Linked DNA regions of Callithrix jacchus. The protein of the gene in region 1 purifies or fractionates together with the protein of each later gene. This does not show direct contact. Links are inferred from orthologs where the notes say so. Each region holds a gene or a part of one and is shown on either strand. Other genes may lie near its edges.

What was found. The genes of interacting proteins can lie anywhere in the genome.
Region 2: the proteins of NEDD1 (region 1) and tubulin gamma-1 chain purify together in Homo sapiens (affinity purification with mass spectrometry; 5 studies listed by BioGRID and IntAct, with this or other methods). This does not show direct contact. The link is inferred for Callithrix jacchus from reciprocal best matches to the Homo sapiens genes NEDD1 and TUBG1.

The regions. Positions count from the first base shown.
Region 1 is NC_133510.1:100,010,726-100,015,109, reverse strand, and holds part of NEDD1 (protein NEDD1), read right to left. Parts: intron 3,727-4,384; coding exon 3,497-3,726; intron 1,934-3,496; coding exon 1,732-1,933; intron 1,359-1,731; coding exon 1,163-1,358; intron 1-1,162. UniProt on the Homo sapiens protein: Required for mitosis progression. Promotes the nucleation of microtubules from the spindle.
Region 2 is NC_133506.1:121,276,978-121,282,149, forward strand, and holds the start of tubulin gamma-1 chain, read right to left. Parts: upstream 3,429-5,172; 5' UTR 3,389-3,428; coding exon 3,340-3,388; intron 3,018-3,339; coding exon 2,905-3,017; intron 2,699-2,904; coding exon 2,531-2,698; intron 1,371-2,530; coding exon 1,302-1,370; intron 1,019-1,301; coding exon 939-1,018; intron 512-938; coding exon 385-511; intron 1-384. Other genes in the region: RETREG3 (reticulophagy regulator 3), read left to right, coding at 3,768-4,006. UniProt on the Homo sapiens protein: Tubulin is the major constituent of microtubules, protein filaments consisting of alpha- and beta-tubulin heterodimers. Gamma-tubulin is a key component of the gamma-tubulin ring complex (gTuRC) which mediates microtubule nucleation.

The sequences.
Region 1 (4,384 bases):
ATTTTTGAAAATTATGAAGATGGCATTATGTAAGATAAAGGCAATTTTCATAATATAGTTAATTAAACATGTTGGCAGATGTTACTCAAAGTTATATTTCAACAATAATTTCTTCTTTAAGTAGATATCAATTGTCTTTGTCTCCAGGAGTTCCTAAATAAGAATCTAATTATTTTTCTAATATTTAATGACTCTTACATAAGGATGATATAAATATTCAAAGGAAATTTATAGTGAACATACTTACTTTAAAATACTATTTCACACTATCAAGATCAACAAATTAAAGTTTTGCTTCTACTTGGAAATAGTAAAATCATACTAAAAAAACACCAATATTTTTGTCCAAGTATTTATCCTGAAAAATTTGAAAAACATAGATAGATGTATTTCTAATGAGCACAATATTTTGGAAACATACTAGTATACCATGTAGATTTTTAAAGTATTCGTTGCAAGTTGACAGTATAGCATAACTTCTTAAAATAAAAAGTTTTCAGGAATTTATAGAATATTTTCTTTATTGTGAACAAGGAATACTTTCTACAATAAGTATGGGAAAGCTTATGGCACCTCAATAAAGTCTAAATGAATCCTATTTCAGAACAGTTTCATCAATAACATCAGAGAAGAAATCATTAAAAATTGCAACATTCTCATTTATTTTTAACAAATTACTAATATACTGCTTAATATGTGCCAGGCACTATTTAGCACTTTAAAATATTCATCACTTGACTTACTTTTCATTCTAAAATGTGAAATAAAAAGAGCCATTATAATAGCTCTTCTTTTTTTTTAACAAGGAGATCAAATCACTGACAGCATCAAAGTTTCATATTCTCTACTGGTTAATCTGAAGACACAATGGAAAAGCCATTCAGTCTGCAGTAGTATTAGGGAAGAATAATTTCTCAGTTAGCCTCCTTCCATTTTTAAGATAATATTTCTCACAACAGAAGTTTAGCTAAACAGTAGGGCCTTTTAATATTTTTGAAATTAATAGCTAAAGTTACTATTTCACTTCTTAGTGATTTTCACTTCTACTAATTTTACCTAAATACTCACCTGAATTTGGATTCTAGGTTCTTGAAAAATGTGCTAATCATATGTAGACCAAAAAAAAAAAAAAACCTTCCAACAATATTTAAGCAACATTTACCTGCTTTTTCTTGAATAGCAACTGTTCCTTTCCCCACAACTGATGTCACAGGTTGTGGTAGAACCGTGGCAACGGATATGGCAGGTGCTTCTCTGACAATTCCGGAATTCTGAACTCCTCCACTAGCAGCATTCACATTAACACTTCGTTTGTTCACTGCTGTGGGCTTATTTGAACAGCCTTTATTTAAACTTGACTGAAATGTAATGGAATATTTAAAAGCTCAGGTTACTAATGTTTCATACCATACATTAATATTTTATAAATTCTCTGTTAGATTAAAAAATATATTTTTTCCTTGCAAATCTTAAGCTTGCTGATGGATCTCAGTTTTGCTCTAAACGAAAACATCTTTTAAAAGACTTTTAGAGAAAGAGAGATATGAGAACTAAGTACGAAGTTTTAAAACTAATTATCAAATGGCTTTGTACTAAAATTATTATGTACTACATGTAAAGTCATTTTTATGTAATTATGAAACAAAACTATACTGTATTTAATTGATAACATAATTTCCATATTCTGAGTTAGATTTATTTAATAAAATCAAAAATAAGAAAATGTCTTACCTTAGTAAGAGCAGTGGAGTACTGAAATGCTATACATTGCACAGATGTCTTGTGAGCACTGATGGTTTTAACTGGTGATTTCAACATTCTTAAATCATATTGATATATTTTCCCCCGGGAAGATCCAATAGCCAAAGCGGCTCCATCAGGCATGAAATCCACCGCAGTTAGAGGAGTGTCAGCCACTAAAGTTTTCACCACCCTTTGGAAAGGAGAACAAACTATGTGTAGCTATGTTAGTGTGTATAGGTATATAAGCTTATATAATAACTATAAACCAAAACCAGAGTTATTAATACTTCAAACTAGCAAAGAGCACATATATCCCAAATATTTGTTTAAAGCATAATTTTAGAATTTGACTTAGAGAAATTTCTAATAAAATGGCATGTAGAGAACTGCCAAAAATTCCATCTTTTCTATTCACTAGGTATATTCCACATCTTATAGAAACAGCACCTATTTCTTTATTACTCTGGCAGTGAATGTAGCAGAACTACCATCTGTTACACCACAAACAGAGGCTCTAGCCTCAGGACTGAGGAGGCCCTAAGTATTCCCTTTCCATTTATTGACCTGCCTAGGCCTCAGGAGGATTATGACCTTTCACAGGGGAGCAGCTGTTACTCTATTCTTAGTTGTGCAGTCTTGACCAAAAAGCTAGGAGGAATATAATTCACAAGCTTGATCCTTAGGCAGCTAATAAAGAAATATGGATGCTGATCTGCTCAAGCTGAGCTCTTTACTGGTCTGTCTAGTATAAGAGAAGAATGGCTTACCAGGCTCTCAGTAAATTGTTCCATAAAAGAAGACAGCAAATAAGTAACAGCAAAAATTCTAGCATCATAACAGGGCTGACAGTAAGCCCTTCCCTTGTAGTAACATTCATACTCCACATGATCTGCAGTGCTAAGCATCTTGAATACAACTCTCGCACTCTTGCAGTTCTTTTGTTTTGTTTTGTTTTAGCTAACTGAGCATACCTTTAACATGAGAAGGGTACAATGGGCCCAAATGCTTAGAAGATTATGCATACCTAGCAGTATTTCTCAAGTGGAAGCAACCAGAAGACATCTGGCAATGTCTGGACACCATTTAGGTTATTGGTGTTTAGTGAGCAGAGGCCAGGGATGCTGAGTATCCTACAATATCCAGGACAGTCTCTCACAACAAAGAATTACAAAGCCCAAAATGGCAATCATTTCTAAACCTTCCTCTAGATAATCAATTTTAAAGCAAATTAATCATTTGTGTTAAAAACATATACATGTCATATTTTGAAAAAGATGCTAAAATTGAAATGTGAAATCAAGGCCAGCACGGTGGCTCCTGCCCGTAATCCCAGCACTTTGGGAGACCAAGGCAGGTGCATCGCCTGAGGTCAGGAGTTCGAAACCAGTCTGGCCAACATGGCGAAACCCCACCTCTACTAAAAATACAAAAAATTAGCAGGGTGTGGTAGTGGGCACCTGTAATCACAGCTCCTTGGGAGGCCAAGGCAAGAGAATCGCTTGAACCCGGGAGGCGGAGGTTGTGGTGAGCCGAGATTGCGCCATTGTTCATGTTTCAGAGCTCTAAATACTACCTGCACCCCATCTATTTTTTTTCTGCACAAGAAGAAAATTCTATTTTACTAGATTCATCAACTGTACAAACTTTAGAACCCCTCAACATTAATCAGTGGTCTATACAAATCACAAATATGCCTGTTAATGGAATAATAGTTATTTGTTACTAAATTAAAAAATAAGCATGTCACACTTACTTCTTACTTGAAGTGTCATAGAGGATGATTCTTTTATCCAAGCCTATGGTTACAAAGAGCAATTCATTGACAGGAGAAAAACAGATGCCTGAAGCTGGAGCTTTGTGTGCACTGTCAAAGTTATGGTATGGACTCTGACTATTTACATCCCAGAGAGTTACTATTCCATTATCTGAAACACTGCCCAGTAGTGATTTCTTAAACAAGGAGTACTTCAAATGCCGAACAGACTATAAAAATGAAAGAATAAATTTTATGTAATTATAAGCATTCATAAGGACATTTTATATAAGCCATATAAATTACGGCCAATCACACTATTCACATGGGGTTTAGGATTTCTCTGATGTCTGAGAGTGACAGGTTTTGGCCAGGTGTGGTGGCTCACGCCTGTAATCCCAGGACTTTGGGAGGCTGAGGCAGGTGGATCACCTGAGGTCAGGAGTTCGAGACCAGCCTGGCCAACCTGGTGAAACCCCATCTCTACTACAAATACAAAAATTAGCTGGGCATGGTGGCGGGTGCCTGTAATCCTAGTTACTCAGGAGGCTGTAGCAGGAGAATCACTTGAACCTGAGAGGTGAAGACTGCAGTGAAACAAGATCCTGCCATTGCATTCCAGCCTGGGTGACAGAGCACAATTCTATCTCAAAAAAAAAAAAAAAAAAATCCAAAAAGTAAAAAAACAAAACAAAAAAAGAGTCACAGGTTTCAATCATGACAACCACAGCGTCATTACATGAACCATAAGATGACATACCAATACCTGAAACATACCAGTAGTCTATTAATAAAGTACTTGTCATTTTATTATCTTGGAGTATAGCTACCTCAATCTCCCCTTTCAGAGGAGAAATTTAATACATTTAGATTATCTATGTTAATTCA
Region 2 (5,172 bases), on another chromosome or scaffold:
GTTTTTTTTTTTTTTTGAGACAGGGTCTCACTTTGTCACCAGGCTGGAGTGCAGTCAGTGGCACGATCTCAGCTCACTGCAACCTCTGCTTCTGAGGCTTAAGTGATCCTTCTGCCTCAGCCCCCCAAGTAGCTAAGGCACATACTACCAAGCCTGACTAATTTTTGTATTTTTAGTAGATAGGGATTTCACCATGTTGCCCAGACTGGTCTTGAACTCCAAGATTCAAGCGATCCAACAACCTTGGCCTCCCAAAGTTCTGGGGTTATAGGTGTGAGCCACTGCACCTGGCTAAAACGGATTTTTAAAAATACATGAAAATGATTTAATAGACCTGAAGGGGTGTGGGGTGTTAAGAGTTGAGAGGCAGAATCCAGGACTCACCACACAGTCTGCGTTCTGCGTTAGCCTCTTGAGTGTGAGGAGTGAATTATAAGGCTGGACCACCACGTCGCTCATCTCGTCCTGGTTGGGAAACACTGAGTATGTCTGCACCAGCTTCTTAGGATACCTGGTGGGGGTTGGGGAAAGGATCAGGGCAACAGATTGAAGGTGTGGTGAACATGGTGCTCCCTAACAACTGTCCAGAAGCAGCTAAATTTTGATGTCGAAACTGGGGTGGGGTCAGATCAGTAAAGGGAGACTTGACTTTTGGAAGTCTGTAACCCTACAGGGGGAAGGGCAGAGACATCTTAGAATCTGGGCTTCCAACTCCACACTCCCTGGACTTTGATCCAGGGCTCAGATTCTAGGCTCCAGTTCCCACTACTGGGAGTGTGATGGGGATCTCAGTCACTGTAACTTCTTTTTCCTCTCTATAGGAGGGAATAGAAGAACTCTTTCCTGCCCCAGCAAACAGGGAGTTATACCTACTGGGTCCCCTAGTCATTTAGGAAGCCAAGTTGGTGACCCTTCCTAATCCCCAAACACAAACTTACCTGTCATTCAGCCGTTCTAAGAGGTAGGAGCCCAGGCCAGAGCCTGTCCCCCCAGCAATGGAGTGACACAACACAAAGCCCTGCATGGGAAAGGGGCAGTCAGTGTCCAGGAATCTAGTGGCAGGATTTCAAACTAGACCCATCTCACAATTTTTCAGGACTCCCATTTTCCCGAGCCCTTCCTTTCCCTCCAGTACTCTCACTCATACAGCTTAGGTGACTGCCTTGTTTCCAGCAAGGCCTGGTAGCTTCTGTCCAGTGCAAAGGGTACATGAGTGCGTCTTGTTCTTAATAGGTCGCTTCTAGAGGGTGTTGCCAAGCCTTGCCTATGTCAGTTCCTACCAGCATTCCTGGGACACTTACCTCTAGACTGTCACTACCATCCGCTTCCCGGTCTATGATGTCAAAAATGTCCTCGTGGATCTTCTCTCCCTGTACAGACATAGGGAGGGTCAGAGTGGGACAGAACCATGGAAGGACTCTGACTTCAGGAAAGCAACCCTCGACTTACCTTATAGCACCAGAAGTCCTTTTATGGAGCATAGCTGCCTGCTTTTTATCTACACTGAGAGGCAGTATGGTGCAGTGGTTACAAGAAAGCACTCTACAACCCGGATTACCTGTGTTCATACGTTAGCTCTATTTTTTTTTTTTTTTTTTTGGAGATGGAGTCTCATTCTGTCACCCAGGCTGGAGTGCAATGGTGTGATCTCAGCTCATAGCAACCTCTGTCTCCTGGGTTCAAGCAATTCTCCTGCCTCAGCCTCCCGAGTAGCTGGCATTACAGGCACTTGTCACCATGCCCAGCTAATTTTTGTATTTTTAGTAGAGATGGGGTTTCATCATGTTGGCCTGGCTGGTCTTCAACTCCTGACCTCAGGTGATCCACCAGCCTCAGCCTCCCAAAGTGCTGGGATTACAGGCATGAGCCACCATACCTGGGCCATCGACTCTCCTTCTGTGTAGCTCTGAGCAGCCTATTTAATTGCTCTATGCCTCAGTTTCCTCATCTGTACAATGAAGGTAATAATACAGATCCATATACCCTTATCTAACAGTGTTGAGGCAGTTATGTTTTGGAATTCAAAATATTTCAGATTTTAGAAAGGTATTATGGTATATATAATATAGGTTAAATAAAATTCCAGTGGGAGTCAGAAGTACATTAATCAAACATATTAGTATTTCTATAATAAAAATCATCAGTGAAGATAATAAGTTGGATAGAAACTATAAAACAGCCTGTCTTCATTGAGATTTGTTTTTCCTGCTAAACTAGTTAGGAAATGTCCTTTGGTTTCATGGCTTTTTGGATCCTGGAAAAGCAGATAAGGGACTGTGGACCTGTAGTACTTACTTCTAGGGTTGTTGGAAGATTTTAAAAAATTAATATATGTAAAGTACTTAGAATGGCCTGGCACACTGCATTAGCTAGTACAGACACTTAACAATATTACATAGTCCGCTTCCTGCAGCCAGGTCTCTCCCTCCAGCATTCATATATCCCTGATCTGGTTCCTTTCTCTTGGAGACATCATAGGGCTTGTCCCTACACAGGGAGTTGTGGGCCCTGCCAGGGAACAGGAAACAACCTGGGAGAATCCACTGGCCCAGTTGTTGCCAGCTCCTCCTCCATGCTCCGACAGGTAGATGTTCTCTGGGTTGTAGAGCTTGGCGTAGGGGGAGTTGAGGATGGAGTGGATCACCCGGGGCTCCAGGTCCAGCAGCACGGCCCGGGGGATGTAGTGCTCATCATCTGCCTGTCAAGGAGAGTCCAGGAGGAAGACCAATCAGCCAGGGCGGCCCAAGTCCTAAGTCCTCCCAACTCTGGCTCCCTGGGCCCTCCCTCCTCAAGCCAGCCGCCTGGCCCCTTTGCCCAGTGGGGCTCCCCTTCCAGTACCAGGCCACTCCCTTCCCTTCCGGCCCTTTGGGCCACTGCCGCCCCTGGCCAAGTTGCTGGGGGCACCTGGTAGAAAAAGACGTCCTTGCGGTCAGTGCCCTCGGTGGCGAACTCCTCCACGATGCCCTCAGGGCTGATACCATGCTCGGCGCACAGCTGTTTCCAGAACTCGAACCCAACTGGGGGAAAGGGGTGGGTGGGGGAGAAAGAAGATATCTAGGTCCGGGCAGGTTCCAATCACGAGCTGGGGGACTAGGCGCCTGCGTCCTGGGATAAGAAGTCAAGCCGCAGGACTCTCCCGTGTCTGAGGAAAGGACTGTACGCCAGGGACTGGGCAGGGGAGGGCCCCTCGGGGTTAAGGCAAGTGGACATTGGATCAGGGATGTCTCGCCTTTCAGAGAACTACAATTCTGGCAAGGACAGATGGAGTCCAGGATCCCACAGCGAGATCCCATTAACCCTAAGGAACCGGGCTAGCTGAAGGGCCGGAGTTTCGCTCACTCTGATTGCCGCACTGGCCCAACTGTAGGGTGATGATTTCCCTCGGCATCGCTCCTCAGGCACGGGCGTTGCAGCAGCTACCGCCGCACGCCAGCCCGCTCGCCGCAAGACGCAGGCGCCAAACAACCAGCTCCACCCACAGACTTCCTCCGCTCCAATGAGAACCGAGTTCTGGCAGTGAATGGCACGTCCTTAAGCATTGGCCTTCATTCATCCATATTGCGCGTGCGCATCTTCGGGCAAGGCGCCTCCGCGCGGGCGTTGTACTTTGACGCAGCGTCCTCCTCTCTGGGTGGACGCGTACTTGGGCCTGCGCGGAAGCGCTTTGTGGTGCGAAGAGACCTCCCTAGTCCAATCGCGCATCTGCGCAGTTGCTGTTATTGTGACTGTCGGGCCACAGACCCGGATGTTGTGGCTGCCAGGGGGAGATGGCGGAGGCTGAGGGGGTGGCTACTACCCCAGGCCCGGCTTCGGGGTCGACTTTCAGGGGCCGCCGAGATGTGTCAGGCTCCTGGAAGCGGGACCAGCAGGTTGAGGCGGCGCAGCGGGCCCTGGTGGAGGTGCTGGGGCCTTACGAGCCTCTGCTGAGTCGAGTGCAGGCAGCCCTGGTGTGGGAGCGACCAGCCAGGAGCGCTCTGTGGTGCCTGGGGCTGAACGCGGCTTTCTGGTGAGAGAACTGGACCCTCGGAAACCCTCAGAGTCCCGAATTCGTCGATTCCTCTAGGGCTCTACTTCACGCCTGCCCTGTTTTCTTCGCTCCACTGGCTCCTTCCTGTATCTGCTTAATTTTGCCTCACCTCCTACCACTCCATCCCGCCTGTAGGCTTCGGCACCCCAGTTCTTCCCAGGGCGGTCCACCTATCTTCTCTGCTTTACCTACGTCCGCACCCCCCGCCCCGCACTTCTGGCGGGAGCTTCTGGTAACTTCTTGAGCCTCTCAGGAGTGAACGAGGGCGCCTCTTTGGAGCCCAGGAAAGCTGCGACCCTTTAAAGCCATCACTTCCTTTCTCTTGTCTGCTCAAGTGCAAGTTGTAGATTGTTTCAGAGGTTTTACTAGTTATTGTGGGGAGTACAGGCGTGAGGTCTTGCAAAGGTATCCATAGATGTGATTTTAAAACAATTTTGAGCGGTTCGCATGAATTAGCATGTTATATATCCAGGAAGGAAGTTTATGAAGTCTGAGAGTCAGTGTGAGCCCCTAAAGCTGAAACTTAAAAGAAAATTACAAGCTTTTAAAGAACAGTTAGGAAATGATGATGGAGATTTCACCCGTTTCAAAGCCACCTGTGATTGTAACTCCCTGTTCCAAAGAATTAGAGGCATGGTTTATAGGCAAGGAAATTGAGGATGTCTAATAGTGTGTGTTTTCCTGAGCTGGAAAAGTGGCACTATAAATATGCTTTATATGTGTGTGTCATGCTCTTGAACATGGAACTGCTGCTGCCTTCAGTTGTTCATCACCTAAAGTATACCTAGGACTTCATAGGATCTACCATTCATAGTTTTGGATTCATTCAAAATGGGGGAGGTTTTGAATTATAGGGGGGACTGAATTATAGGGGGCCTTCTGCAGCTGAAAGGATTAGGACTATTCTGGGTAAGCCTGAAACAACAAAATATATGTGTTTTTTAAATGTGTTTGGTTAAAAATAGGTTTCCCCTTAAAATTAGTGGTTTTAAAATAAAAATATTTATTATCCTTTGAAAGATTTTCAGTAAGCTGAAGCAGAGCAAATAATTCCAAGTTCATTGACCCAAAGTCAGTGTTCAGCTATTAAGCTAATCCTCTCCCAGTTTGAAAGACACCCAGTTAAAGGTGTCACAGTAGTCTCT